Linked DNA regions of Astyanax mexicanus. The protein of the gene in region 3 purifies or fractionates together with the protein of the main gene of each other region. This does not show direct contact. Links are inferred from orthologs where the notes say so. Each region holds a gene or a part of one and is shown on either strand. Other genes may lie near its edges.

Region 1 (10,052 bases), on a different chromosome or scaffold from region 3:
TTAGGGCCATATAACTCACCCCTACTTGTGATTAAAAAAAAAAAGCGAAAAAGTCTGGGCTTTACATTACATTAAGTGTTCAGTAATCTGTAACAGACTTAATCCTATGATTTGTGACACTGTATGTATGACTAAAACATAGACACAGAAATATAGAACACAGATAGAAACAGTAGAAGCTACTTTTTAAAAGATAACAGTGACCCACAGTGTCACAAACCACAAACAAAATTCACATAAACCTCACGCATGTCAGGACTCATGTTGGAATGTGTAAAATTAGAAATATCCTTTTATAAAACCCAGGTTTCACTGGATAATTCAGGCTGAATGGTGTCCTACCTTAACCTGAGTCCTGATCTTAGAGCCCTCAGAGATTCTCTTCACCTGCTCATCACTCAGCTCTGTCTCCTGGTGCTTCAGAAATGCATCTGTTTAGCAAAACACAACATAACTGTTAGTCACAGGTATAAGATCACTATCTGTGTACCTCATACTGATATCGTGGTGGGTCAACACCCAGTACCAGTATTGGTATTCATGAATCTCTAAATAAGAGTTTAGACTTGCATTTTAATGTATTTTAATGCGTTTTTGTGTGGCAGCAATGATATTTTTAATGTTTCACAGCAGCTCTCTTACCTTCCCCTGTGCTGCCATCACTCTTCTCCTCATTCTGTTCTTCCTCTGCAGGCAGGTTGGACTCCAGACAAAAGTCTTCTTCATTAGATTTGTCTATAAACTCTCCTTCCAGCTCTTCCTCTCCGTCCCCCTTCTCCTCTCCTTTCTTCTCTCCAGCCACAGCTGGCTCTTCTTTGGAGGCATTTTCATCTTCATCATTTACTCCATTCTCCTCCTCATCCTCCTCAACTTCTTCTCCATCCTCCTCTTCTTCCTCCTCATTATCCTCATCACTGTCTTCTGCATCCTCCTCTTCAGCATCATCATCATCATCATCATCATCATCATCTACTTTCAAATAGAAAAAGAAAAAGCATTTATGAGCATGGCTTAAGAACGGTATGATTTATCGGTCCCACTATGAAGAAAACATTAATAAAAAAAAGCATATTATTATATTTAAAAAAATGTGTCTGAAGTAGACCCGTCATAATAACTATGCAATTAACATATTGTACAATATATGAACGTGACCTCTATAGGCCTGTAATAATAATTGCAATATCGATTTATTGTACAATCAATGAACATGACCTCAATATTTTTGGATAATCACGATATCGTCTACTGTGTTTATTTGTATGTTTGTTCACATATTCAACAATAAACAGTATTTTAGCCAGTCATGCTTCAATAACTGTGACTGCATACACAAAAAGTGGACTAAAATAGGTGAAACAATAAGTATGTAATTCCCTAATTATAATATTAATTATAATAAATGATTAATTCAAATTTTGTAGTCTTTAAAAGGTGTATTATTGCTTTTCTGTATTTTTTATTTATTTATTATTACTTAGTTTTATGTTATTCTGTTATCATTATGTCAGTGGCGTTTAATAGTCCTTAAATTACAAAAATATCGAGTATCGCAATCATTTCTGGGACAATATATCGTCCACATAAAAATCTTATCGTGACAGGCCTAGATCTTTATTATTTTTGCTGTTCATTGTGTTTGAAGTCAAAAGTTTAAACACACTTTAAATTCAGTTTTTTTTTTTCAATATTTTAAAATGTTCATCCAAATTATGAAGAAAAACCTATGAGATTATTTAGTAAACTTCAGTGTCTCAGAGAATTAGAATATTATATATCAAGGCCAATTGGTACTTTTGGCAGTGTGCCAGGTCCTGCTGGAAAATGAAATCCACATCTCCATAAAAGTTGTCAGCAGAGGTTCAGCATGAAGTGCTGTAAGATTTTCTGGGAAAACAAAACTGCACTGACTTTAGACTTGATAATAAAACACAGTGGATCAACACCAGCAGATGAAATGTCTCTCCTAGTATCACTAATAATCAGTTAATGTTGCATTTCTTTTGGAAATCAAGGGAACAGAGTTTGGAGGAAGAGTGGAGAGCTCTTCAGGCTGCTTCAGGTCTAACGTAAAGTTTCCACAATCTCCAAACTCTTGACTGGTACTGTAGATTATAATCCATTTTCATTATTTGAAAATTCTTAATAATAAAAAGTAAATTGGGCTTAAAATGAAGGTACCTGTGTTAATATGCTACAATATCATTATATCATTGGCATAAAATGGTCTTTAAAATGCAACTTCTTTTTTTAACGCAATTTATTCTGGAACAATATATTGCCCTAAACAAATCGCCTAAAAGCTATTGTGACAGGTCTAGCCTGAAGCTTCTGCAGTTTTATTCTGGAGCTACAATGCTAATGTAGCTAATAAGTAATGCAAGCTTATCAACATCACAATATCAGAAACAGCAACAAGAAATTCTATCACAGAGTGCTAGCTTCATAAATTTACATATTCACTACAATAGCCATGTTGTGCTAATGCTAAAAATAAACTAAAAACCTCACACAGCAAATATAGTGAATTTCATGATTTATTACGAAGCAAACCTTCATCTGGATTGACCATTTCTTCTTCTACACCATCTTCATCATCCTCATCATCTTCCTCACTCTCCTCTTCCTCACTGTTATCATCAGCTTTGCGGTTCATAGTTGACAGCAGCTGTTGATATGCAGAGGGTTTCTCTTCTTCTTCTACTCCTTCTTCGTCGATATCTTCATCACTCTCAGAGCCTGAGTGTTCAGGATTGTTGGGCTGTGAAGAGAAAGAGCAATATTTAAACATACATAGCTTTATTTGTCATAAAGCCACATTACCAAAGAAATCTAAAATACTGCTAAAGCTCTTGAACTATCTGTATGACTAACTTGAATAGGCTAATCTACTTTTATTGTTTCAGTCTATGGTTTGGCCAAATATTTTTTTTTTTTTTTTTTTTTTAAACAATGGCGCCAGGCCTACAATCACAAACGCATAACTAGAGTTTATGTTAAAGGTAAAGGGTAAAAGACCATCTCAAAGCAGCTTGATGTTCCTGTGACTACAGCTGCACATATTATTCAGAAATTTTAAATAAGCGGGATTGTAGCTAACCTCCCTGGATGTGGCTGCATAAGGTAAATTGACAAAAAAACATTTAAAGAGATTAAAGGTAAACTTTAAGCTCAAGGAATATAAGTATCAGATCACACAATTTGTCATTATTTGAGCCAAAGAAAACTTAATGGGAGATGACCAAGGAGGACACATTTGTTAAAATCAAAACACAAACTGGAATTTGCCAAATTACATGTGGTCAACAGGATAATGACCCAATACACACAGATAAAAACACCCAAGATGAGCCCTGATCTAAATCATACTGAGCACCTTTGGAAGAAGCTGAAACATGCCGACTGGCAAACCTTCAAACCTGAGATGACTGGAGCACAGTTTGCTCATGAGGAGTCAGCCAAAATCTCTGCTGAGAGGTGCAGAAGTCTCATTGACTGTTACAGGAATCGTTTGATTGCAGTGTTTGCCTCAAAAGGTTGTGCAACAAAATCTTAAGTTAAGGGTACCATCATGAGTTTACTTTTTAACCCTTGTGTGGTGGTCATATTTTTGTTACTCGTTTACTTTGTTACTTGTGTTTAATTCAGCAAAATTAAGCAATTTTACATTAAAATGCTTTACACATGCTTGCTTCACTTAAATTGCAAGCAATTTAAACAGCTTACATGGTTAATATTTACCCTTTACCTTTCTTATGCTACATTTCTTTCAAAAAGTGCTAAAAGAATGTAAAAATGTAAAAGAAAATGAATTAAACTCAAGATATGAGTAGAAAATGTGTTTAGTTTCAAATTTACAAATGAAGCAATGTTTATTAGCCCTTGGCCAAACATACTGTATGTAATATAAATGTGTGGGTGGTGTACAGTGTGTGTTTATCGTGTTTTGATATATGTTTTTCACAAAAAATGAGCCAATGCCAATGAGTTTCAGTTAGAAAAAATATTTTTTTAGTATCATTTGATGAAAAATGAAAACGGGTCCCACAGACCCGAACACACAAGGGTTAAAATGATTCAGATGCATACATTTGAAGCATGATTGAAAAAAAAAGTCAGATTTTCATTTGTTCATTTTTATAGGATATTTATTTATCATTACTTTTGTCAAATTCAAGTTATTTCTGTGACCATTGTGGATTTTCCTTTCGTTAACGGAGGGGTATCAAACATTTTGTTCACGTGTGTATATACACTCCAAAGCACTTATTCTAAAAAAATAAAATAAAATAAAATAATTTCTATTATTTTATAAATAATTTATTCTAATAATATTACGAATAGAGGGGACTTTAGCTGGTACTCACCAAACGAACAATCTGTGTTCTTTCTCGTCTGTCAGGAACACTAAAACAAAAAGCACAGAAATAAAGTGAGCTGTTTACATCTCGTCACGTAATTTTACTAAAACTAATACGTTAATAAGGTCAATGTCTTTATCTTCTCGTTTAAACAAGATAGATAATAGATAATTGTATTAAATGCACTGGCTTTATCTCAATCCTATCAAATGCTGCCTACTGAAGGATGATTCTGAGGTACCAAGGCATGTCTGAATATAAGGTTAGTAATCTAGCCTCCTGTTTAATTGTGAAAAAGTGCTAAAGGCTAATATTAACACAGATAAACCTCAGGCAGTAGTGTTATCTTATTTATTCTGTCAGAGTGGCTCCACTACTCTACACTGCTTAATGAGTCAGTCTGGACAGCTATAAGAGAAAAAGTCAGCCAGCAGCTCTCTACTGAGGAATCAGACATATTCAGCCATACTGTAAGACCCCAGCCGGTATCCGCTGCAGTGTTTCACAAGAGGAGCAAACAGTCAGGAATAAACTGTGTAAATAAAGCACAGCAGCTCTTACTCATCATGGAACGGATGCTCCTCTCCGAACTCCTTCAGGTGCTTCTTCTGTTTTTTACTCAGACTCCATAAATCCTGCTGTTTCTGCCTCCTTTTCCCCATTTTACTAAACACGTGTTTCCCAGCTCGAGCGCTGCTGTGTTTACCTTTTACCCGCAGCTCCGCCGCCGCCCGGCGGCCTGGAGGAGAACTACACTCCCAATAAACCACGTGTTCAGCTTTAGCATCACTCTGTAACCAACTGCTGTATTATTCATTTACTCTAAATTTATACAGTACATTATATAAATATTTACTGAAGAAAGAAATGAAGTGTCTAAAATAATGACTTACTATCTCAAAATAATGAAATGACTTACTATCTGAAAATAACGAATAAGTATCTCAAATTGGCGATTTTCTATCTCAAAATAATTAAGAACTTTCTTAAAATAATGACTTACAATGTCAAAATAATGAATTAGTATCTCAAAATAATGAATAAATATCTTAAAAGAGCGACTTACTACCTCAAAATAATGAAATGACTTACTATCTGAAAATAATGAATAAGTATCTCAAAATAGCACTTTCTATCTCAAAATAATTAAGAACTATCTTAAAATAATGACTTACTATCTCAAAATAATGATTTAGTCTCTTAAAATAATGAATTATTATCTCAAAATAATGATTTAGTCTCTTAAAATAATGAATTATTATCTCAAAATAATGATTTACTGTCTCAAAATAATGAATATGAATATAATGAATATAATGCAATGACAGTATCTCAAAATAATGAATTAGTTATCTCAACATAATGACTAAATATCTCAAAATAATCAGATAGTATAATAATAGACTACAAATTTAACTCTGCGCCTTATGTACAAATTCTACCAGTCAGGTATTAAGGATCAGTAAAGCCACTCTGCTGAAGTACAGCGTTATAAGGATGAGTTTTCAGTGAATTTTCTCCAGAACTAAGGCTGGGTGAAGAAGTATTAGCATTAGCCGCTAACCACAGCAGTAGCTCTTTTGCCATTCAGAGGTGAGCATATTGGATTGTAGTCTGCGTGTTTACTGTGTTAAAACAAGCTACATGTTATGAACCGCTACCAGAACACACAGACTTCCTCAGTCTAGTGCTATCAGGCGGCACTTATTTCTCACTAGCACTGCGGTAAGTGGCTAATGCTAATGCTGCTGAAGAAACTTCACTTCACCCTTATACAAAATATTGAAAAATCTAAGCTCACTGTAAATAAACTGAAGCACTTTACTCTCCCAAATAAAGCATTTTCAGGAGAGAAATCTTTGTGGATTAACATCCAGCGCTTGTGTGAATGTTTTTTTTTTTAGAATTGCAATTTTGTTTACTTCCCCCCAGCTTCCCCATTAGAAGGGAAACATGGCGACACCCTTGTTCCTTACTAGTATCGCTTAATGCATTTTATAATCTGCAGTGCCTTATGTAAGAACATAGACATTCATTGATAGTGGACCATATAATCTGGTGTGCCTTATAGTCCTAAAATACAATAAATTCAAGTTTTTTTTTAAAGGGTACATTAACCCTAACCTACCCATCCAGCCTAACAAGAATTGGGACACCTTAGGGCACCCTAGGGCTGTGTGGTAGGGCCAAGTGGTGAAATGGGTTTGCTTCTTAATGTCTGTAAATAAATAAAAAAAATGTAAAAAAATAATTTATTTATTATAATAAATAGACAAATGTGCTCTTCATTCTAAGCTAGACAATCTGTAGGCATGTTTAAATGAAGTAATGTTAATGATGTAATGATGTAGTTTTGTATCAAAGGGCCACTAAAACACAGTCTTCTCTGGTGATGGAAACTTTTCGGTGCTTTACTCTTCACCAGGGAATTGTGGCAGATCTGATATGAGACCTCTGTAGGGATCTAACTGCTGTATGGGTGTGTGTGTTTGAGTGAGTACAGGAAAATATGCAATTGATTTGATCAGTGAAAATCATTCCATTCCCTTTAAACCAAAACACATGCGCCGTTACCAAATACGGTGCATGTTTCAGCCTTATTTCTACAGTTATTTATTTATTTTCCCCGCTGCTCGCTGCGTAACCTCCCTCCAGCTTCTGATACCATATGGTGGCTGATTATGAGGACAGGGATTTTAAAGTGCAGGCCTTGCCAGTGATTAGGGTGCCTATTAATAACACCGTGGCAGGCCGCCAGCCAAAACAAGACACAGTGAAACGAATGAACCCACACACTTCAGTGCTTACAGCGGAGTCATAAACGCACCAAAGGTTAGAACAATAGAGTCCGGTGCCAACTTACAGAGGGGTATTTATCCCCCCAAAGGCATCAGCTCCGGCGTTCCAAGGTGTTTTAATGTTTGTGTAGGTGAACAGATTATTTACACGTCCCTCAAATAAGTCAAGAGGTCCCATGTGGAGATGCAATATATGATATATACAATATATGATATATGTAGCTTAAGAAAAAAATAAAAGACCACTTCAAAAATGATCAGTTTCTCTGATTTGACTATTTATAGGTATATGTTTGAGTAAAATTAATATCGTTGTTTTATTCTATAAACTTCTTATAAAATTTCTCCCCCCCCCCCACAAATTGTCATTTAGAGCATTTATTTGAAGAAATTAGAAATGGTCAAAATAGTGCTTTCAGACCTTAAATAATGCAAGAAAGTTCAGAAATCAATATTTGGTGGAATAACCCTAGGTTTTAATCACAGTTTTCATGCATCTTCGCATGTTCTCCTCCACCAGTCCTTCACACTGCTTTTGGGTGACCTTATACCACTCCTGGTGCAAAAAAATCCAGTTAGTTCAGTTTTGTTAGATGGCTTGTGACCATCCATATAAATAGCTGTACCATTGAAGCTGTATGTACCTTTATCAACAGGTCAACATTCCTCTATATAAATCAATAAAGCAGAATTTACATAAAAAAACATGTTGCTTTCTATAAAGCTCTTTTTATATTTAAGACTCTATGTATATACAGTACCTGTCAAATGTTTGGACACACCTCTTGTCCTGTGTTTTCTTTCTTTTTATGATTTTTTTCTAGTGCAACATTGTTGCACAATTGAAGACATTAAAAAGTGGTGTAATTAATTGCGTAAAAAATATAACGCATTACTGATTCCAAATTAATCAACTGCATTAATGCTTTAACGTTGACAGTCATGGTTTACACTCATCCAACCACAATCAGATTCCACACTCTATCTGGATGGAGATTTTTATCTGGATAGGTTTAAAGGAATAAAAACAAGCTGAAATTAAATTTTCAGCTTTTTTATCATTTCATATTTTTTTAAATGATAGGATGAGAAAGTTATTTGAAAGATAATTATATATATATATATATATATATATATATATATATATATATATATATATATATATATATATATATATATATATATATATATATATATATAATACTCCAGTAAAGCATAGATAACCAATATTTCTACTTATTTGTACTTTATTATTTGACAACTCTATTGGTATTGCACCATTTGATTTCTCAAAAGCTCTGAATGTAAGCTGTTTTTCTAGGCTGCATATGTAGGGTTTCTCACTTAACCCTTGTGTGGTGTTCATATTTTTGTTACTCGTTTACTTTGTTACTTGTATTTAATTCAGCAAAATTAAGCAATTTTACATTAAAATGCTTTACACATGCTTCCTTCACCTAAATTGCAAGCAATATAAACAGCTTACATGGTTAGTATTTGCCCTTTACCTTTCTTATGTTACATTTACTCTTTTTTATTAGTTTTTTAATAAAATGTAAAAGAAAATGAATTAAACTCAAGATATGAGTAGAAAATTTGTTTCGTTTCAAATTTACAAATGAAGCAATGTTTATTAGCCCTTGGCCAAACATACTGTATGTAATATAAATGTGTAGGGGGGGTAGGTGGGTGTACAGTGTGTGTTTATCGAAAATGTGTTTTGATATATGTTTTTCACAAAAAATGAGCCAATGCCAATGAGTTTGAGTTCGAAAAAATATTTTTTTAGTATCATTTGATGAAAAATGAAAACGGGTCCCACAGACCCGAACACCACACAAGGGTTAAAACAGCCTTCTGAGACAATGCTGCCCATACCTGACCTGCAAACTAGGCTTCGTAACATAGCTAATGTGTGAGGTATGCAGTTAGCACCAAGCTAACTGTCTGCTATTAATTTCTATTATTATTTATATCAACTGCTTAGCTTTACTCAAGACAATAAGCATGTGGAAAATGGAATAATTCACAATTTATTTGGAGTTCGGCTGTTACAGCGTTTATTCTTCAGTCATTGATGTCCATTGAAGATAGTCCGCTTGTTTTAAGAAACTGCTCAGTGAATTTAATTCATTAAATAACTGTTGCATCCCAAGCCTGATGTTTTACACAGAAACTCTGGAGTCCAGACGTACTTTGGCTCTGCGCAGAGCTCAATAAAACGCCAGCCCTCTTAAAGCATTACGGCTGATAATTCATGTAATTCATGCTGACCTGCTGCAGCTGGACGGCATGTGTTCGGATCGCAGTTCTTCTTGAAGTGCTTTCCAACTTATTAAAAGAAATAAACGGCCAAAACAACAGCGCTCTGTGCAAAAACATCCACGTTTATGGGGCACTAGTTAAATTGCCCACATCAAAATCAAAGTGGCTGTGAGTTTTAATTGCTAGCGGAGAATGCTGCAGCATGGCAGGGGCTTGGAAAGAGCAACAGCAGGCCGGAGGCACATGACGTGTGTGTATATATGTATGTGTGTGTGTATATGTATGTGTGTATATGTGTGTGTGTGTGTGTGTGTGTGTGGTGGCAGAAGGCCAGCATGGTGTGTGAGATTCCATACGTTTCTTCTGTAAGGGAATACGCAGTTGGAAAGCACGTTCTGAGCTGTTAAGTCTGTGTTGAAACGCATTAGCTGGGAACATAAATCTTCTTTATTTATAAGGTATCTGGGCTAACGCTAATGTACATTTTTATGTTATCTGCAGGTTTATACTGTGTATTTTTTATTGTGCCATAATTTATGCCCCGAGAGGTTCACTGTACGTTTTGTAGGACACTAATAAGAGGTATTTGGTGTCTGAAATGTGCTTCTTTAGTTTAACACTAGAGCTG
Region 2 (10,942 bases), on a different chromosome or scaffold from region 3:
ATTTAATAAAAATACATTAAAATTAGCTTAAATCAGTGGTTCTCAAACTGTATACATGTACCATTGGTGGAACATGAAGCACACCAAGGTGGTACACCACCAAATAAATATTTTTAATGCATTAAAAACAAAAGTTTTCCCAGGAAAATGCATGCGAGTACCAAGGAATGTCCAAATCACTGGAACTTAAGAATTTGCCTGGTTTCATTGGAGATCACCACATGTTGTCAGAGTTAGATTGAAAACGTAATAACGTTATATATTTCAATAGCACCAATTTATTGTATTTCATGTCAACATCAGGATATCCAACAGCGTTATTATTATTATCGGTAATCCCTAGTTTGCTTGCATATGTTCCTGTGGATGATTTGTAGGGTGGTACTTTTTGGTTTGATTGTGAATGGTACATGATCAAATCAATGGTTTTAAAACTAGAATGGTCAATGTCGGCCAATTGTAGTTATGCGGCCAGCATAGCTTGGTTCTTTTCTGGCATACAATAAATACATCAGCAAGTGTCAGTTTGAAATATATGCCAAAAAAGGGCAATTATCCGCCAATACCAATATAATTCCAATACCTTGTGCATCCCTATACAAAAGCATCACGGAGGTATTCATTTCGGTCTAGCAAGGTAATGCACTGCAAATAATCACATTTATTTCCTATGGAGTGCACTGGAAAGCAGTTATAAAGTTGATCATTAAAAAACAAATGTGTCAAAATATTGGTTTGCACTGTTCAAGAAGTGACTTCCACACCCAAATCCAAGACAAGCCAAACCAATGCAAATTTATCATAGTTTACTTTACAATTCCCTGGAACTTCAGCACTGCAAGACATTGAGCACTGAACTGAAGCATTTTATAAGGTTTTCAAATCATTGTAGATCGTCAAACATGTTACAGTGTGATTGAAATGATCACGCTTTGCACTTCTGAGTTTGAATTATGAGCAAAATCCTCAATTGCAGCTTTAAACAGATCTTTGAACAGCTTCAAAAAAGTGTTTACCCAATAAACCATTAGCTGAGGTGCATGAAAACAGACAGTGAGATCTCCTGAAAGAGTAATTCATTCTAAACTAAAAGCTACGCAAATGCTTACCTGTACAATTAGCGGCGCTTCGTTACTAGTTGTGGACGTAACCCAAGCCAATCTTGACGGCAAGCATTTAAAATCAATTCTCGACTGCAATAAAAGAATAAATGGAAGCAAAAACATCAATGCAAACAGCAAGAAAACCAGGAACGCCCAGTATGCATCTTGTAGTACACCATTCAAAACCAGCATTTTCCAGCATTTAGTACAAAGAGGTCTAATTCAGCACATGTTTGGCTAGCTGCAAAAGCCACAGCCAATTTTGAAACTGGTAAAAAGCATGCATTTTATGTAATTCATATTAAACCCAGCATAAACATTCAGATTTGAGATAACAAAAAACAAATAAACACAAAATCAAAGCACATCCACATTATTCAGTCATGAAAACGCAAATAAGAAACAGGATAAAGCATTTTGAGAAACACAAATCAATCAATAAGATTTAATAATAATGTGTGTATTTATCAAGGTCTTGATATCTTTAGTGTGTACCCCTAAATAAAACAGTGCAAGAGGACATAATTGTTATAACTGGAACATCCTTGGTTATATCTGTACAACAGATACATTCAGGACCATCTCCCCTCACCAAACTTCTTACGATTCTTATTTCTTAAACACAAACCAAAAAACAGATCATCACACTGTTGCCAAACAAGTCTGTATTACAATTCTACTGTTAAATAAGCAAATTCAGTCCTAAATTAGAAATGGCGCAGAAATAAATAGAGGACAAATGACCATAAGCCAGCTCACTGTCTACACCAAAACATACGCACACTGCGATTGTGGATTGTGTATAAGCACCAATTCAACCACTATTTTGATGCCGCAGTGATTTCAAGCCAACCAATAGCGTGGTGTAAACAGATTTAAAATCAAAACCTGATCGTCTGTCTTCAAACGATTAGTGCTATGGATACGATACACAAGATAATTCAACGAAAGACTACAGAAGGCCATTTTAGCTTAATGTGACAAAAGCGACACAAACCCAAACTCTATTTTTACCAGTAAAGAGTCTAATTACAGATCTGTAATGTGGTTTCTACTAGTAGAAGAATGTAACTGGAGTTTTTACTAGTATAAATGTAATTATAGCTAGCTTAGATATAAGTGTGAAATCCCGTGTAGCTAAATCAATGATAACATTTGACTATATGTGGCCCTGATAATACAACTGATATTATTAGCGTTAATGGCTTGTAGGTGGTTCTACTAGTATAAACTGCTTTAAATAGACCTGTAATCCGAGATTTTACCAGTAAAAACCTGTCAATGGTGTCATTCTAGGCTAGAAGCAGACAACAGCATTTAAAACAATCACCCACCAGCAATAAAGATAAAGTAAAATGCATTTTTCAGAACCAACCAACCAGAAACAAAATGAATCAGACCGAATTAAAACCAACAAGCTGGCCACAGAAACACAATTAAACCGAATTTGACACTCTGAGAGAAGGAGAGTACATATTGCTCTTAAGTGGAAAACAAACCAGTTGGCTACAGAAATACACTTACACCGAATTAAAACCAACCAACAAACAGGATGCATAAATACATTTAAACCGAATTAAAACCAACCAACGGGCTATAGAAATACAACTAAACCGAATTTAAACCAACCTACAGGCTACAGACATACAACTAAACCGAATTAAACTATCCAGCTGCCACAGAAATAAAATTAAACCGAATTAGACCCTCTGAGAGGAGAGTGCAGTGATATTAGGTGGAATAACTTTCTGAATCTTTCAGTACAAAACAAGAACCAGTGAAAAGAAGGAAATTTAAGAATCTGAAAGGAACAAAAATACAAATATTCATCCCAAAAGCAGCGGAGCGACACAGAAAGGCTTCCAAAGAACGAAAATCTGACCAAATAGAGCTGAATAAATGGAAATAGTTCTGAATAAAGCTAAATAAAACTACACAATGCTGAATAACAGCGTAATAAAGCTTAAAACAACTGAATAAAAGCTAAATAATGCTAATTGCAGCTAAATTAAAGCTGTATAAAACCTGAGGTAACTCAGACTGCAGATGATTAGCGTTAGCTAGCTAAGCTAGGCTAAGCTAAGCTAACTAATACCAACAAAGAGACAAAATGGCGCAGAGCAGCAGCAGCAGGTCAGCTAAATAAAGCCCTAAAACACAGATCCAGCTCTCAGTAAATCACTAAAACACCGATAAATCAGATCATATAAACCCCCCGGACTGAACCACAGAACCGGGTCAGCGCTGGAGCCCCTGAGCCCGCTGTAAGCGGGGTGATGTGTGTGAGAGTAGCGTCGGACTAGTGCCCGGAGCTCCGCTGGGTAAATGGCGGCGGAGCGGCTGTAGTACAGTGTGAGTATTAGAGAGTATATATTAGAGTTCTGCAGTTCTGCGGGTCTTACCGAGTTTATCTGCTTTTAGCGCAGCTCTACTGATTCTGCTCTGTTTACCCGCTCGATTTATCAGCAGGAGCCGGGCTCTGGATCTTCTGTACCGCGGGGTTCTGCTCCCCTCAGCTGCAGGATCATCTCTGAGTAAAACCGCACAGCAACCCCCCCACCATACCCTATACACACTTTACACACACACTACACACAGCGACCCGCAGAACTACGCCCTCTAGCGGGGCCAGTAAATATACCTCTATCAGACAGACAGACAGACAGATAAACAGATAGATAGATACTACTCAATTAAGTAAAGTTAAGAAATAATTTAAGAAAAAATAATGGTCAGTCAATCCAAAAAGAAGAATTATTTTTTTTTGAAAGTATCCTCAAGTGCAGTCGCAAAAAAGACATCAAAAATGTTTTGATGATGAAACTGGCACTCATCAGGAAACCACCCCCAGGACAGGACGCACAGTAGTTCCCTTGCTCTTATTTAAAATCAACTCTCGACTGCAATAAAAGAATAAATGGAAGCAAAATCCTCAATTGTAGCTTTAAACAGATCTTTGAACAGCTTCAAAAAAGTGTTTACCCAATAAACCATTAGCTGAGGTGCATGAAAACAGACAGTGAGATCTCCTGAAAGAGTAATTCCTTCTAAACTAAGAGCTACGCAAATGCTTACCTGTACAATTAGCGGCGCTTCGTTACTAGTTGTGGACGTAACCCAAGCCAATCTTGATGGCAAGCATTTAAAATCAATTCTCGACTGCAATAAAAGAATAAATGGAAGCAAAAACATCAATGCAAACAGCAAGAAAACCAGGAACGCCCAGTATGCATCTTGTAGTACACCATTCAAAACCAGCATTTTCCAGCATTTAGTACTAATTGGTCTGTTGCATCAGAGAAAATGCCAAGATGTGCAAAGAGATGTCTTCTTTGAACAATCTAAATTCTGGTTTGTTTAATAATTTTTAGTTGAGACGGAAGTGTAGTTGTTTTTCCACAACAGCAGAAAGACAGACATGTCTCTCCAAACCATCACTGATTGGTGGAAACTTCACACTAGACCTGGAGCAGTTTGGACTGTGTGTCTCTCCACTCTTCCTCCAGACTCTGATCCCTTGATTTACTTTAAATGAAATGTAAAATTTACTGATGATCAGTGAGGGTTTGGAGAGACATGTCTGTCATCTGCTGGTGTTGATCCACTGTGTTTTATTATCAAGTCTCAAAATCTTACAGCACTTCATATCTTACAGCTTCCCTCTGCTGAAAACAACTTTTATGGAGATGTGGATTTCATTTTCCAGCAGGAAAAAAAAGTAGACACACTGCCCACACTAATTTTCCGAGACACTGATTTTTTTATTGTCTGTAATCCATAATCATCAAAAATAAAAGCTATAAACGCTTAAAATAGATCACTCTGTGTTTAATACATCTATATAATATATGAGTTTCATATTTTGAACTGAATTACTGAAATAAAGTAACTTTTCAATGATAATCTAGTTTTTAGATGCACTAGTACTTGCTGTGTTTAATATATATAAATATATATAACAGCTGGGTCATGTTTAGAGCGGTGGCGCCCTCTAGTGGCTTCTGTAGGAAGCACACAGAGTGCTCTGTGGCTGCTGTCGTTATTACAGTACATTACGTTATAGTATATTTTCTACAGAACAGGAATAAACTTAATTTGCTGCTTTAAGTTCAGTCAAAAAAACCTTCATGATGGAACTGGCCCTCATCAGAACCGCCCCAAGAAAGAAAGTCCAAAGCTTCGCTGGGAATCACTCCCTTTTACAGGAATAGTGCACTGTATAGTGTGCCATAGACTTAAAATGTACTTCTAATTTAATTCATTTTTAATTATTTATTAGTTTTAGACATACTATATGGCGAGTCTGCCCACTTTCTGTTTTCCTCGTGAAATCAGTAAATCACTGTTCAACTGCTAGAGGCCTTAGAATCTCATTCCCACGACTCTTATTTAACGTTACACGTGTAAGTATCTTGTTCCCATGCCTTAATAAGTCATGGCCATGACTTTTTTATCTTATTCACACGACTTACTTTATTCACACACATAAGGATCTCGTTTCCACCCTTAATAAGTCGTGGCCATGCATTAGGATCTTGTTTCAACGCCTTAATAAGTCGTGGCCATGCATTAGTATCTAATTTCCCCGCATTAATAAGTTGTGGCCATGACATATTTATATCATTCACTCAACTTACTAATTTCATTCACACAACTTGCTTATCTCATTCACGCGCATAAGGATCTTGTTCCCACACCTTAAAAAAACTCACCTTTATAGGTGAATTTTTGTATATATTTTTATATATCCGCTGTAAATTTAGTGTTTTTGTGTACAGAGCTGTTTTATTTTATTTTTGTTCAGGTACTTTAGGATTTCTGCTAAATTTCGTTGTACACTGTGCAATGACAATAAAAGTATCTTATCTTATCTAATAAGTTATGGCCACGACTTACTAATCTAATCACATGACTTATTTATCTTATTCACATGCATTAGGATCTCATTCTCATGCTTTAATAAGTCATAATAAGTGTCCATGCAATATTATTTAATCATTTTTTTAACATGATGTCACCTAGTTTAACATTGTTTGTGTAATAAATAATTCTGCATGTGTTCGTGTATAGCTTTAATATAGTCTTTAATATTAAATTTATATTAAATTATGTTCAATTTAATCTATGTAAAAAATCATAAAAATAAAAAATAAAACAGTGAATGAGGAGAAGAGGCGTGTCCAAGTTTTTGACTGCTACTGCAGCTAAGGACTTTTAATTTGAAATGTGTGTTTCTGTACAGGAAGCGGTCAGGCGCTTGTGCGCATGCGCGTGTTGGTAAGCGCGTGGAGCTGTGTGGCTGTGCCTAGTGTGTTTACTGATTTTACTGTGTTTATATGATTTAATATATTTAATATAGAAATATATTATTATACAGCAGATCTTCAGTTTGTAATATAAAGCGCTGAGGAGCGGAGAGCAGCATGGTGAGAGCTAAAAGGTAAGATATGAGTGTTTAATACTGTTTTATGGGTTATTTAATAAATTTAAGTTTTAGTGCAGTATCTGCAGTGCTGTGTGATCCAGACAGTATAAAATGTTTTATTATTTTATCTTTATCTTATCAATGAACTTTATTACTGCAGTTCTTCTTCTCCTGTCAGATTAACTCTAATTCTAATTCTTTTCTTCTCTGCTGAAACTGAGACTCAGTCCTTAATCATGTTAATCTGAGCTAAAGGCTAAAGCTGCTGTTTCCATGTGGGTCAGCCAGACGTCTTCCTGTAGCAGTTTTTATCTCCAGTTTATTACTGATACTATTATTCATTTTGATACTAACTGATAATCTGCTTTAGTTTAATTTAATTAGTTAAAGAAAATCACCTCCACAGAGCCCAGCTTCAGTCATTAGCCACCCTAACCCTGATAGTAAGGAACATTTGTTTTGGTTGCATTAACTATGCTAATTACATCTTTTAAGGGTTTCTACCATTTGATTTATTTCACAAAACGTTTAATCATTAAGTGTTGGGCAGTTTGACCAAAATGCATATCACTGTACTTTTTAAGATTCTGACGGTTTCACGTTATATCACAGTATTTTTTTTTATTTTTTATCTTATTTATTTATTTATAGTTTTTTTTATAGCATGACTGGGCTTTTATACAGGTTTGTGACTCACTGTACTGTTAGGAGTACATATAATATAAAACACTAATGCTTTAATGCTTTAATTGGCTTTACTTGGTCCCACAAAATATATAAACAATATATGAAGAAATCAGATTTCATTAGCAGAAAAAAAACACCTGAAAAAATGTGAACAATAGACTTAAAAATGTGGACGACTTTTACACGGCTTCCTTCACTAAACTAAATCATTAAAATAGTTCAATAAACAATATAAATGGATCTAAAATACTCAGTGTTTAAGTATTTAAAAGAGATATTTCTCAAAAGCACTATTTATATTGATTTACAATATGTTTTTATTGAAGCCATTAGAGTATTAAAATCAGCGACAATGCCCTTTCTTTCTCCAGTTAACAAATACATTAAATTTGGTTTATTTTTCCTTCCAATTATCCTTAAAGCTACAGTATTAATATATTTAAAAGGGTTAAAAGGTTATGGTTACTGCTCTTTAAGTTTATTTGCACCTCGTATCCATAGTTCTATGGAGTTTCATTACTTCTGCTGAATAAATAATTCTGTATTCTGTAAGTTAGAAATGTGTATATCTGTATCAGTGCTTTATGAATTGTAATCGTAATTGTTATTCATATTGTATCACCAACCACTTTATCTCCTCTCTCCTGCAGGACGGTGCGAAGGCCGAGAGTGAAGCGAGTGGAGGAGTACGACAGTGATGATCCTGCAAAATATAAAAATGAAGATGTTCCTGATAAGGTACTGTCTGTACTGTCTGTGTCGGTAACTCCTGTCTGATTAGATCAGTCTGATTAATTAAATGAAAATTGCAGTAAAATACCTTATATGTTAATATTTGAGGAAAAATGGTTAGCATAATTATTTTACTTAATTCCTGGTTGTATTTGTCTTTTTTTCTTTTCAGAAATCTTTAAAGTACACAGAAGATAAAGTAGACGAATTCCACAACAAAACCATCTCTGTGAGTTACGGTACTTTTTACTTTACAGCTTCTTTTATCTTGTAAATAACTGTGAATAAACTGGTAAATGGTTGTGTGTAAGTGTATATGTGTGTTAGTCTTTTATGTACTTGTTGTTTTATTATTTGTAATTATTTAACCCTTTCAGACCTGAATGATGTTCCACTGATGGAAAAATAAAAAAACCTGGGTTTTCTGTATGTAATGCACATAAGGAAGACCCTAATAGTCTATATAGTCTATATAAAATAAAAATCACAAACCATCCCTAAACATGATTTAAAGTGCTCTAATCCAGAGGGCACTAATAGGCGGAGCGTGGTTCGGGTCTGGACCCAGATGTTGTCCCACGAGGATGCCTTAAATTATTGTGCACTAAAAATGAAGTAAAACTGTTAAATTTAGTCTGTTTGTGTTTCAATAAAATCTGGTCTTTCATTCTTCATATAAATTGTCCATTTTGGCCATAGTTTAGCAAATCTTGACATTTGCAGCCTAATAGCGAATGTAATTTTTTCCATTACATATATTTAATTGACTATATTAATCCATTCTTCCATTTCAATGCTGTTTTTTTTTTCAGTGCAATAAATGGGGCTAAGCTACTGTTTTATTTGTTGTAATAAATACAGGGTCTGAAAGGGTTCATTTTATTTGTAATTGTTGTAATTGTTAATCATAGAGTTCAGTTTTTAATCTGTTTAATAATGTGATGTGTTACAGTAGGTTAGATGTGTGTTAGTTGAGAGTGTATATATTGTATTAATCTGTATGTTTTGTTGTGTTTGTTGTGTAGAAGCTGTTGGCGCGTGGCGTACGGACAGATAATGATTATGAAGATGAAGCGGACGAGGTAATCAGATCTTCTCTCTTTTTTAGATGCACTAATATATTTTATTACAGTGTACAGTATGTTATTACTGAAGCCAGTGAAGGAAGTTCTCCACAGTTCTTCAGTTTCTTGTTACGCAGGAAGATGGTTGGGTCAGGTTTTCATATATAAATATATAGTAATAATTTGTGATCTGATTAGGAAGAGGTGATGCCCCTGACACTACAAGATTCAGACGATGATGAGGATGATGAAGAAGAGGACGGTGATGATGGTGATGAAGAGGGAGAGACGGATATGGAGAGTGATTTGGAAGGGAAAAAGGATGACGGTAAAAGGATATATAGTTTTATGTTTATATTATAATGTTCATTCATTTTTTTTTTTTTTTGTCATAATTTTATGTTCTTACGATACGTTTAAAAACGAGTTTTCTGAGTTTTGAGAATGTTGATAATTGGTAATGATGTTTTTATTGTTAATGTTTGTGCAGATCTGCCGAATGCCATGGCCTGGGGGAGCAGGAAGAATGCTTTCTATGATTCTGACTATACGACTACGAGTAAGCACTTTCAGTTATATCATTACTCTTACTTTATCTGAGTACTTATTTCAGTTACGAGTAAACTAACTAGTAAAAGTTACTATTTCCAATACATTAATCAGATTAAATGTACTATTGTTGGAATTTTATCTTTAGTAAAAATAATATATATATATATATATATATATGTGTGTGTGTGTGTATTGTTTTTTTCTTTTTGTGTCTCTGGGAGGGATGTCTGGTCTGTGCAACAATTAAGTCACATTTTCAGCCATTAATCTGATGAACTGGATCTTTTCCACATGTTTTTTTAATAAATGAGAAGCTATGTTAGTCTGATTAATTGGATGTAAATTGCTGTAGAATGCATTAAAGTATTGAGAAACTATACATTCGATTAAACATAATTTTTATTCTCCTCTGTAATGAGATGTACATTCACTCTCATTAACTTATTTAAGTACTGATAATTTATAATGAATTTATAAAATGTTTTTATATTTGCGTCGCTGTTTTTAGAGAAGAAATCGTTGGTGGAGACGGAAGCAGAAGATAAGGAGGAAGAAGAGGAAGCTAAAAGCATTCAGAGACGACTTGCAGCCAACCTGAGCGAGGAAGACTATGATCTGAATCTGCTGCAGGTAAAATATATAGACTTTTATATATAACTTTTACATCAACAATAAACAGAATAGTAAATAAAATAACATTGCTGTTCCCGTAAATGAGCTGCTGGAGCTCCTTCACAGCGTCAACCAGCAGCTCAGTTTCCTCTGCTGAGAAGAGTTTGTTGAACACGTCCAGGTAGCTGCACCTTTACAATAGCAATCCACCAAAGACAGAGCTCACCTGATCTACTCTTAAAGAGAATGATGAGCAAGAGACACTCTGATTGGGTTATTATTTCACGTTACGCCCAAAATTAACCAGAATTAACCACACCCACCATTAATTAAGATAATTAGTATTAAAAGCATGACTTTTGTGTGTTTCGAGCTGCGCAAGGTGTACTTTTCCCGTCGTTCTGATAGCGAAGACTCACTACAGCATCTGTCTGTGTCGTCAGGAGTTTGCGGTGGAGGCTGAAGATGAGCAGACGGAGGAGAGCGGAGAGAAACAGCAGAGGATTGAGAAGGACCTGGATCAAATGTCTCAGAAGGAGAAGCTGAAACTGCTGAAGAAGGAATCTCCTGAGTTACTGGAGCTCATTAATGACTTTAAAACTAAGGTACAGTAGAGCAGCGGTTCTCCACCTGATTATAATTATAAAGCATGTATTTTAAACCTGACCTAACTTAAATGCAATACATGCACAGATTTATGTATAGTTTTTGTCATATCTGCTGATATCTGTTATCTCCTATACTTAATTTATTCTGTTACTGCACTA
Region 3 (10,545 bases):
CGTAAATGTACTGTAATTGCAGTAGGATTTAAGGTGGAACAGGATGGATGGATGGATAGGTTTTTAGACAGAAATAGACAGACAGACAGATCGATAGATATGTAGACAGACAGACATAGGGATATATAGACATGCTTATAGATATTGTTGTGTCTTCTTGTCTCTTGTGGACTCCTCTTTGGGTGTTCTTGGAAGGCTGTAGAAGTGATAAACATCCATAGTACAGAATACACCTCAATATATAGGCAGGTAGATAGATAGGTAGACAGACAGACATATAGACAGATCAATTGATAGATAGACAGCATGTACTGTGTGTGTGCTGCTGTACATGTACTGTAATTGATTTAAGACTTAAGGTGGAACAGGGATAGATAGATAGATAGATAGATAGATAGATAGATAGATAGATAGATAGATAGATAGATAGATAGATAGATTTAAAATGCTGGAGTCTGCGATGCTTAAACTTTTGCTATTGTTCTGTATTGAGAAAATTAGTACTTTTATAAACATGATTTTGTTCAATTGCTCTATAGGAATCCATTCATTTTGGTATCACCCAGGTGCTCCCTCTTGTGGTGGCACAAACCCACAAGAGATTATGAACGATAATAAAATTTGATCATTTCATTTTTTAATGATTAAACTTATCAACATGTAAAACAGCGCAAATTAATTTTTGGGAACTATATGATAATTTTATAAAGAAATTGTGGTTTAGTTGGACTATCAGCATGACTAGGGCAGCCATTCTGTTATTCAGCTAAACCATCAAACTCAACATAAACTTTCAGCTGGTCATAAACTAAGCTGACCTAGCTGTTTTCTTTTTTTTTTTAGATTCACACGTTATACCAAACTATATCATGCCAAACTTTTGCTTTTTTTCTTCACATTTATCTAGGTATGTATGTTTGCTGTAAATCTATATGATGAGACGGGGTCATACTGGTATGCAATCCATACTGAAATAAGACAGATTTTCTTTCCAGATTTATTATTTTAGCAGCCATACCTGGCTACAAGAACATTAAAGGAAAACAAAAAAATCCAACATAAAATGAAAGCTTTTTCTTCACACACTGTACAATTTTTGTTACAAAAAAATATGTTTTTGCAATTCTTAATGTACTAAAATGTCCCTCGCAGTGTATAATAAATATACAAATATTTTTATAACACATCACCAATGTGCTAATAGCCTCTCTTTGCAATCACAGGGGTTGCAATGTTTAAGCGAAATCCTTTCAGTAATAAAGTCTTCATTCAGTCCATGGTGTATCGGCCTTGACTTCACATTGCTCTGCTGACTGCGGATCCAGAGTGGCTTCTGAGGTTTCCTTTGGCTCTCATGTTCAACAACCTCTGTCCAACCTCGGCCTCAAACCACAAGATCAAAGTCATCACGCTGGAGGAAGAAAGAAAAAAAGACAAGACATTATTTATTTGCTTTTAAGAAGTAAATGCGAGGTAGTGACATTAGCACACTAGCAAGTAACATTAGATTGCAAGCTGGAAACCTTATCATACTAGGTAGCAACGTTAGTGTATTGTGTATTGTTTATTGTACACAACAGCACCCAAAAATATTGCATGTTTAACTTCATTTTCCAGCAGGACTTGTCACACTGCCCACACTGACAAAAGTACTAATCTGATTAATCCCCTGAGAGCGGAAATGGATCTTAAAATCTAATTCAGAACCAATTGACAGAAATCCAGAGTAGGTGACATGAGGCCAGACATTCAAACTATTATAAAAACAGGCAACTTTCAATTGGGAACCGTTTATATTAATTCCAGACTGTTGTGAGAACAGAAACAAGACACACAAACATTTTTCCAGCACAATAACTAGGATAAAGGACAGACATTAGCATAGCATTCATACCTCCTCATTGTAATTCATGACATGCTGTTTGATCTTGGAGGAGTCCACCCAGGTCACAAAATCCTCCATGTTCCTGTGGAGGTAATAAATAAATAATGCAAATAAACCTATGGATAAACAAGATATGTAACAGTTGGGATGCACCAACTTGGGAACTGTAAGGTTTCTGTAGATATACTATACTGACAAAAGTATTCACTGGCCTGCATTGCGTTTGATGATATCACGTGAAAGCTGGAGTTGAATATGACTAAATTAAAAAGAAAAAAAAGAGAAAAAGAATAAAAACAGAACTGACCTTGTAACAAGAAAAGCAGGGTCTGTGACGACCTCTGGCCCAACACGAATATCTGCCATTCAGTGAAGGAACTGTAATAATCATATATATATATATATATATATATATATAAGAATACTAATTAATGATCAGAATTATGTAACCTAGTTGGATTTTATAAGTTAAATATTGATATTTTTAGATTCTAAAAAGCAGAAATCAGGTTCAAATGATATAGATTCAAATTCACGCTTCTAATAACATGATTCTAATTTCATATGACAGGTAAGCCTGTGTTTTGTCCACACTGTGTTCATCCTTAAATCAAAACAAACTGAATTATTAAGAACTGGTGAAAGCGCTTTTTTGGTGCTTCATGGTTTCAATAGGACCATTTCTTCTGGTTCTAACAAACTGAACCAGCTCTTTAAAACAGTAAGTAAGGATACGTCCTTGTTCGATGAACGTGACGGCAGCTTTCAGGTTCTGAGCCATGCGCAGCTTCAGCATAATTGTTGGCAGCCGTCTCCTGCAGGTCAGACATAATAGAGAGAAATCAATCATTACTTTTACACTATTTTCAAGCACAATTCTCTATTATACTTAGAATTAATCTGTAGCATGACACTGAAATGACTTTTGCACCATAAGTAAACCTACTTATACATCATGATCTGTTTTCTCACACACAAACAAACTCATTCACTCTCTCTCACTCACTCACCTACAAAAGCAGGAAGCACTGACAGCATCTGCAAGAGCCAGGTTCTGTTTGGTGGGGATCAATCCGATACAGTAGCTGCAAAGAGAAAAAACTGAATCAGACAACACATCCTTACACATTATTTTACACTATTCCACTGTTCAGAATATCAGCTACAGATGAGGAGGTGAGGAAAGTTCCTAAACGTACAGTTTCTCCAGGAACTGTGAGGTGCTCTGAGCTCGGAAACCGTCCTTTTCATCCAAGTCGCGGATTTTCTGGGCCAGTTCTCTGATGTTGCGACTCAGTTTGTTGTACCTAAAAAAAATAATACATTAACATTATAACATTAATATTTTCTTACCCTTATTCTAGTGTATCTAAAAAAAAATAAATATTATTGTAAAGTTAGTGTAATACACTATTTTAAGAATTTATTTCTTCTTTTTTGTTGATGATTATGGCTTACAGCCAATAAAAAACTCAACAATCAGTGTCTCAGAAAATTATAATAATATTACATAAACGCAATTGGTACTTGTGGTAGTGTCGGCAGTGTGCCAAGTACTGCTGGAAAATGAAATCCGCATCTCCATACTTTGGACCAACACCAGCAGATGACATGTCTCTCCAAATCATCACTGATTGGTGGAAACTTCACACTAGACCTCAAGCAGTCTGGACTGTGTGTCTCTCCATCCACTCTTCCTCCAGACTCTGATCCCTTGATTTACTTTAAATGAAATGTAAAATTTACTGATGAACAGTGATGGTTTGGAGAGACATGTCTGTCATCTGCTGGATCTTGTTTGTTATTTTTCTTTTGGTTCAGTTTTCAGAGAACAGTTAGACAAGGTAAAACAGGCAAACTGAGATTTTAAAAAGATTTTAAAAGAGGAAAAGGCTGAATCTGTATATTCAGTATAAACACTCACTTGGTGTAGTCCTCTCTCTTCTCGATGTGGTATTTTCTCAGGATCTTCACCTCGTGCAGGTTATTATCCACCTCCCAGTTAATAAAGTCTACTTTCCTCAGGAGCTTCTGCTCGTGGAACTTCAGCTTTCGGACCATTTTACCGATTAAATCCGCTAAACTACAGAGAAACAGAGAGAGCTAATCTTAGCGGAGTCTGAGAAACACTACAGTGAGTGAGGAGAAACACATGGCCGCCTGCAGGAGAAACACAGCGGCTCTGAAACAGCGCCCCCTACAGACCGGGAGGAGCATTTAATTTCTTTATTATTCTCTCTCCATTTAGCCCCATTTCCACCTTCTACCGTCCAATTTACTCCTTTTTTAATCTTTCTATCTCCTTTTTCTCTTATTCTTTCTTTCTTTTTTAATTTTGTGTTGTTTCCTTTTTAGCTCACTTTCTTTCTTTCTTTCTTTCTTTGTTTTCCTCTTTAGTTGATCTTTCTGTCTTTTATTTTTTTCTGCATCTCTTCTTTCTTTCTTTCTTTCTTTCTTTCTTTTTTCTTCTTTATTCACATCATTCTCCCTTCTATTTGTCATTTTTAGTACTCTTTTGTCCCCCCAATTTTGTATTATTTTTATCCTCATTTGTTTTTCTATTTCTATGTCCTGTCCCTTTTCTTGTCCCCTTATTTTTTTCTTTCTTTCTTAATTTTTCTCTTATTTTTTTCTTTCTTTCTTAATTTTTCTCTTATTTTTTTCTTTCTTTCTTGTTTTCTTTCTTTATTTCTGTTGCTCTTTTCTTTCTTTCTTTCTTTCTCTTCAGTCCCATCCTTCTCCCTTCTGTCATTTTTCATACTCTTTTTTATTTTTATCTTAATTTTTTTTTTCAGTTTTACTTTTCTCTTTTTTCTTTACTATTTTTTTCTCCTATCCCCTTCCTCTGTTCCTGCTTTTTTATTTTGTATTTCTTTCTGTTTCATTTTTCTATTTTTCTGTTGTATATTTTGTTACTTTTGTACTTTTTCCTGTTTATTTTTCTCTCCTCTTGACTCGTGAGAATTGTGAATTTGCACAGTTGAGGTGTAAATATAATGTAATAACTCTCAGGTTGATACAGAATGGAGACGTTATGAATCATATGTTCAGTTTTGCATACCTGAGTAATTGCTGTAATTTATTGGTTGTTTTGTTGTTCTGAAATGAGCTTCTACTCTGTTCTTATGAAAAGAAAGAAACGTTCAGTCAAACCTGTTTCGTTTTATTTTTTTAAAGCCTCCATACCTTCACATCTGAGCTTTTCATCAAGGAGATTACCCTCACAATGGAGCTGAACTTTCTCCTCTATAGAAACTAGAAGAACTGGACCTGATGGTCCAACTGGCTTCCTGGACCTGCAGCATCCATTACAAAACTCAAAACTACACATTATCCTGTTCTATTTAACGGTTCTTCCAATCAAAGTTTAAGGACACAACATTTATACTCAACAGGGTGTAGCAAGTGTGGATTGACTGGGGACGATTCATTGCTTTCACGTGTAAAGCCAGTGTTCTGCCAGGAAACCCCCGCCAGAAAAAGCACCCCCTCTCGGCTGATTGGATTAGCTCCAATCAGTCTGGTAACTTTTAATATAGATTACTGAAACACAGACATGAAAAAATGAAAAGATGGCTTGTCTCACACTGCTGGCATCATGCATGGCTCAGGCATGTGGCTTTTTCTAATCCTGAACTGGGAAAGACCAGTGCCTTGTCCAGCGGCACCAGCCAAACCAGACCTCAGCCAGTCCACCCCACCCTCGGCTCCGTCTGACACATCTACTGTATCTGACATACAGAACTGCCCAGCACTGTGTAGACTCTGTGTGTGTGTGTGTGTGTGCATTGTTGGAATCCTAATTTTCCAGATACAGCTCTGGAAAAAAATAAGAGACCACTTAAAAAGACGAGTTTCCTTGATTCTGCAAAAATTAAAACCTCTGAAAAATAATTAAGAAGAAGATGGATGATCACAAGCCATCAAACCAAACTGAACTGCTTGAATTTTTGCACAGGGAGTGTAAATCATGAAGATATCCAAAAGCAGTGTGTAAGACTTGTTGAGGAGAACATGAAGTGAACATGAATAAAAACTGTGATTAAAAAACACCAGGGTTATTCCGCCAAATATTCTGAACTCTTAAAACTTTATGAATATGAACTTCAGAAGTTCAGAAATCAAGTTTCCATGCATCTTGGCGTGTTCTTCTCCTCCACCCCTCCTACACACTGCTTTTGGATAACTTTATGCTTTACACTCCTGGTGCAAAAATTCAAGCAGTTCAGTTTGGTTTGATGGCTTGTGATCATACATCTTCCTCTTGATCATATTCCAGAGGATTTTGGATGCATTAAAAACATTTATTTAGTGGTGTATCACCTTGATGTGCTTCATGTTCTACCAGTGGTACACGTTCCACAATTTGAGAACCACTAGTATATGTGATTAATATGAGAAGGTCCTCTTTTTTATGTGTAAACGGCAGTGTGATGAGGGCAGCTGCCCGGCATGATGTCCATGTGGCAGGATGAGAGAGGGTGGGGAAAGGGAACACCTCCTAAAGCTGGCTTGCCCCTGTAGGTCTGCACCCTCCACACAGAGAGAGGGATTGTTTGGCCTCTCGCTCCCCTTCTCCCAAATAAAAAAAGCGCTGTGTGTTGACCTTCCAGCATAAGGCAGTCAGTGTGTGCTGGGATTCTGCTGTTTCTGGAGCCCTTATAACCTCCACACAGCACCGCCACCACCACCACCATCTAACCTCTCTGACTGACGGACGGACGGACGTGTTTGATTATGGCAGTATGAACTGGGGCTATTGAACTATTGTACTATTATAAAGCACTATTTAATCACAGTGCAAACATCTTAACTGGGAGGTGTGTAAACAGCACGCTGGACTACACCAGCCTCACACCGGCTGGCTGATTGCAAAACTCCAGCATATCCTCCTCGGGGCATGTGGTGTGCTTTAGTGGGTGTGACTGGTGACAGATGATTGGGAGTTTTGCTGAATTGACAGCACATAACTGAGGGCAGGTTTTACGAACAGGTCCGCCAAGAGCTCCTACTCTTAGTTACATGAGTAGAAAGAAACTGTCTGAGGAGGTGAAGTCTGTATGAGGAGAAGAAGGAGAAGGTGTTGGGCTCTGCGGTGAAACTTCTTCTAAGACAATGATGATAACGATGATGATGATGAGGATGATGATGATGCCACTTGCAATGGTAAGTGTTTTTTACCTTTATTACATTTAGAGTCACTTACCTTTAGTGATGTGCAGATCGATACTGAAATATCGATACCTCTGATACCAGATCTTTATGCTCTAAAATTTTCTACGATTTTCAAATCAACATATCAATACATTTGATACTTCAGTCATTTGAGGCAATATATATCACTAACAGGAACACAGTGGAAAGTAAATAAACTATGGAGATCTTGCCTGGGTCAGTGCAAAATGCGTAAGCAATTAACAAATATGATAATGAAATAAGTAAATAAGGAAGTTTAGAGTAAGTTTAGAGTAAAAATATGTGTATCACTGAGATGATTTATTAAAGTAAAATGCCTTAATTCTTAAAGAATTGATTGTTTAATTGATATACTAGCTGCAATTAAATTATAGTAATTGTGATAAAACAGCCATGGTGAACTATTGTGGCATTTCTTTATTTATTTAACTAAAAATTGTACTAAAAATTTCAGTTCGATCTCCTAGTATTATAAGACAGCAAGTGTTTGTATTCCCTTATCGTAGGCTATTTGAAGAGACTACATGCATAGTTAAATCTAAATAGGATTTCATTCAATGCAATGCAATTTAAAATAAATTAATACATTATTTGGATATCTTGTATTTTTTCTGAAGCTATGATTTGAAATTCACTACATTTTAAGAATTACCAGACACATTAGGTGTATCTGCACACAGTATCGGTATCAGATTGGTATCGCCGATACCAGATTGAATTATACTCTGTATCGGATCGAAAAGGAAATCGGTGGTATCGAACATCACTGCTTACCTTTAGAGTAATTTATAATCATGCAGGATAATGGAGAGTTAGGAGTCTTGCCCAAGGGCTGTTATTTATTGCTTTTAATATCCACCTGGGGTATTGAACTCTCTAGTGGTGACCTTACTAGCCTCACTTCTCTTAATTGATAATGAGTAAATAACCCAGCTGGCATTTTAACATTAAATCATTGTTAATCAGCGTTGATGTGGTGTTGATTTTAAAAAGTATATCAACGTTAATAGGATATAGCAACGTTGATTCAACGTCATACATTCAACCTTTAATAAACCATAGCTCACTAAAATGAGAAAATCCTATGGTTAACAGAGTTTTTTTTTGTACTGTATCAAAATTTCATCATGAATGGGCCAATAGAAATGCTCCAAAACAACTTGGAATAACTTTATTTTTTTGCAACTGACATCCATTAAAAGCTAGGGTTTGTTCCTTCTGTTAAACGTATGCCGTTTTTTGCATATGCCGTGAATTTGCATAGTAGCTACAATATATTATGATATCTCTGATGCGTCATTTCCTTATTTCTACAAAACCTGTTATCCAGGATGAGAAGCAGGAGTTCAAATGTTGCCTTCCTCCACTAGCTAATCCCTGTGAGTAATGTTGGATTTTGACATTTGTACAGACTTTATCTCAGATACCTCAGACTTTTTTATGTCCTAATTTAATCGTGTTGTTGCTCATCCTCTTCCTCTTCCTCTTTTTACATCTAGCTGTTCCATGAGTAATTGTTCTTCTCATTATTTGTCCAAAACAAAAAAGAGCTTCAGTTTTGTTCTCTGGTCTTCCAGGGAGAGATGGTAATTATTTTTTTGCTACACTGTAAAAATGAAAAAGTTGAGAGAACTCAAAATGTCGAGACATTTTTACACATATGTATAAAACTTAAAACTGTTCTCCTTAATGTGATTTTTGAGTCAGCTGAACAATAACTATTGAACTGCACCCTAAAATAAAAGTTTCTAGTTAAAAGTAGGTTTAAATAAATAATCTGTGTTGGAAAAATTGTACAAATTGAAGGTAAACCCTAGTCGAGGCTAAGTCAACTACTCTGCACTAAAGGCTACTGCACATGCTCAGTTGGTGAGATTTAATATAAGCGACTCGGTTCTGATACATCAGCTGACAGATGCAGCCTTGTGCTGATCCACATCACCTTAGGAGTGATGAGGGGAAAGAGTGCCATGTACTGTACTCACCCAGAGAAAGAGCAAAGCCAATTGTGCTCTTTTAGGGCTCCGGCAGCTGATGGCAAGCTGCATAACCAGGATTCGAACTAGCGATCACCTGTTATTACAGTTAACAAAGGTCTTCACTGGCTAACATCGCCCACACTATGTTATGTTATAGAGAGAGAGGACTGTCCTAGACACTCAAAATAAAGACAGAGGACAGACAGACGGATATCTGTAGCATTACTGTGGATTGAATTCCTGATTTCAGGAGCTCAAAGGAGACGTAGTTTCTAACAGCTCGCTTCACAAGACCTGTCAACACTGAAATACGAAAGCGTGTAAAGAACACAAACACTGACTGTCTTTCTCTGTTGATTTCTGGATTGACAGGTCGGGTGCTCACCCTGTTAGTTAGCATTCCTGTAGCTGCTGCATTTTTTTAGGTATCTAAACCCCATTAACCCCTAAGGCACTATTTTTTTGTGGCCCTGCATGTATCCTTCCACTGTGAGTGAGTGAATGAATGAATTTTCTTCTGAAAACTCTGGTAAAACTGTGTCTCAAGCAACAGGCAGTGCATTCATAACCATCTGGTGTAGTTACTTTACGAAAAGGAGCTTTTAGAGGCTTTAAACTGGTACAGGTTTTCCCCACTGTGAACAATTTTGACTAGTTTAAATGGACAGTAAATGGACTGTAAATAGATGCAAATGATCATATAATTATACGTATTTTTTAATGTATGCAATTCTCAAAGATTAATATTTATCACCCAAATAAAACCATATTTCACAACATCAAACATGAGCAAGCCTTTATTATTAAATTGGAAATAGCTCATAGTTCATATGAATGTATACAATTCTAAAGAATTAATGTTTTTTTTCATGAGAAAAATTGCTGTTTTATTATATGTTTTATGGCATATGTTAATCAATTGTAAATTTGATTAATGCCCATTTCAAACATTTTAAACATGCCATGTTTTTGTTAGTCTCTATAATGACACTATATGTTTACTATATTATACTCTGTATGATATATAGATTAATTACATTAATGTTGGCTTTGTTAAAAAAAAGAATTATTTTTTTTATAACATTTAAATATTTTATATTCCATTTTTTGGCCATTATAATGCCACTGCATTATCAATAATTTAATTTAATTATTTAAAATGGTCTTAAAATGATAATAGTATCTTTGATTGCTGTTATTTCTGGAACAATGTATCTTCCAAAATTATCCTAAAAAGCCTGATTGATTCTCATTTTTATTTTATTAATATGTGTGATATACTATGTTACTTTAATAAAGTTTTAAAAAACATGCAGAGCACTTAACATTTCTAATGTTCCTCTAGGCCTAATAGAGAGCCTAGAGGAACGCCACAAATCCAATTTATAATAGAACTGACTGAACCTTTTTTTGTATTATATTTTGTTTTTATCTTCAGAGCAGATAGCCTCTGTGGAATGCTGTTATACGGGTTTTTGAGTGACA

The links.
Region 1: the proteins of imp3 (region 3) and utp25 purify together in Homo sapiens (affinity purification with mass spectrometry; 3 studies listed by BioGRID and IntAct, with this or other methods). This does not show direct contact. The link is inferred for Astyanax mexicanus from reciprocal best matches to the Homo sapiens genes IMP3 and UTP25.
Region 2: the proteins of imp3 (region 3) and utp3 purify together in Homo sapiens (affinity purification with mass spectrometry; 3 studies listed by BioGRID and IntAct, with this or other methods). This does not show direct contact. The link is inferred for Astyanax mexicanus from reciprocal best matches to the Homo sapiens genes IMP3 and UTP3.

Annotation. Positions count from the first base shown.
Region 1 is NC_064414.1:9,280,547-9,290,598, reverse strand, and holds the start of utp25 (U3 small nucleolar RNA-associated protein 25 homolog), read right to left. Parts: upstream 5,083-10,052; 5' UTR 5,024-5,082; coding exon 4,923-5,023; intron 4,408-4,922; coding exon 4,368-4,407; intron 2,762-4,367; coding exon 2,554-2,761; intron 973-2,553; coding exon 643-972; intron 432-642; coding exon 343-431; intron 1-342. UniProt on the Homo sapiens protein: Component of the ribosomal small subunit processome for the biogenesis of ribosomes, functions in pre-ribosomal RNA (pre-rRNA) processing. Essential for embryonic development in part through the regulation of p53 pathway.
Region 2 is NC_064431.1:34,112,171-34,123,112, reverse strand, and holds the start of utp3 (something about silencing protein 10), read left to right. Parts: upstream 1-6,374; 5' UTR 6,375-6,526; coding exon 6,527-6,543; intron 6,544-7,865; coding exon 7,866-7,953; intron 7,954-8,119; coding exon 8,120-8,176; intron 8,177-8,972; coding exon 8,973-9,029; intron 9,030-9,209; coding exon 9,210-9,339; intron 9,340-9,501; coding exon 9,502-9,570; intron 9,571-10,071; coding exon 10,072-10,193; intron 10,194-10,618; coding exon 10,619-10,780; intron 10,781-10,942. UniProt on the Homo sapiens protein: Essential for gene silencing: has a role in the structure of silenced chromatin. Plays a role in the developing brain. Part of the small subunit (SSU) processome, first precursor of the small eukaryotic ribosomal subunit.
Region 3 is NC_064415.1:56,927,046-56,937,590, reverse strand, and holds imp3 (U3 small nucleolar ribonucleoprotein protein IMP3), read right to left. Parts: upstream 4,079-10,545; 5' UTR 3,947-4,078; coding exon 3,810-3,946; intron 3,193-3,809; coding exon 3,085-3,192; intron 2,971-3,084; coding exon 2,896-2,970; intron 2,701-2,895; coding exon 2,621-2,700; intron 2,245-2,620; coding exon 2,193-2,244; intron 1,968-2,192; coding exon 1,895-1,967; intron 1,412-1,894; coding exon 1,385-1,411; 3' UTR 984-1,384; downstream 1-983. Other genes in the region: slc35a3b (solute carrier family 35 member A3b), read left to right, coding at 7,001-7,051. UniProt on the Homo sapiens protein: Component of the 60-80S U3 small nucleolar ribonucleoprotein (U3 snoRNP). Required for the early cleavages during pre-18S ribosomal RNA processing. Part of the small subunit (SSU) processome, first precursor of the small eukaryotic ribosomal subunit.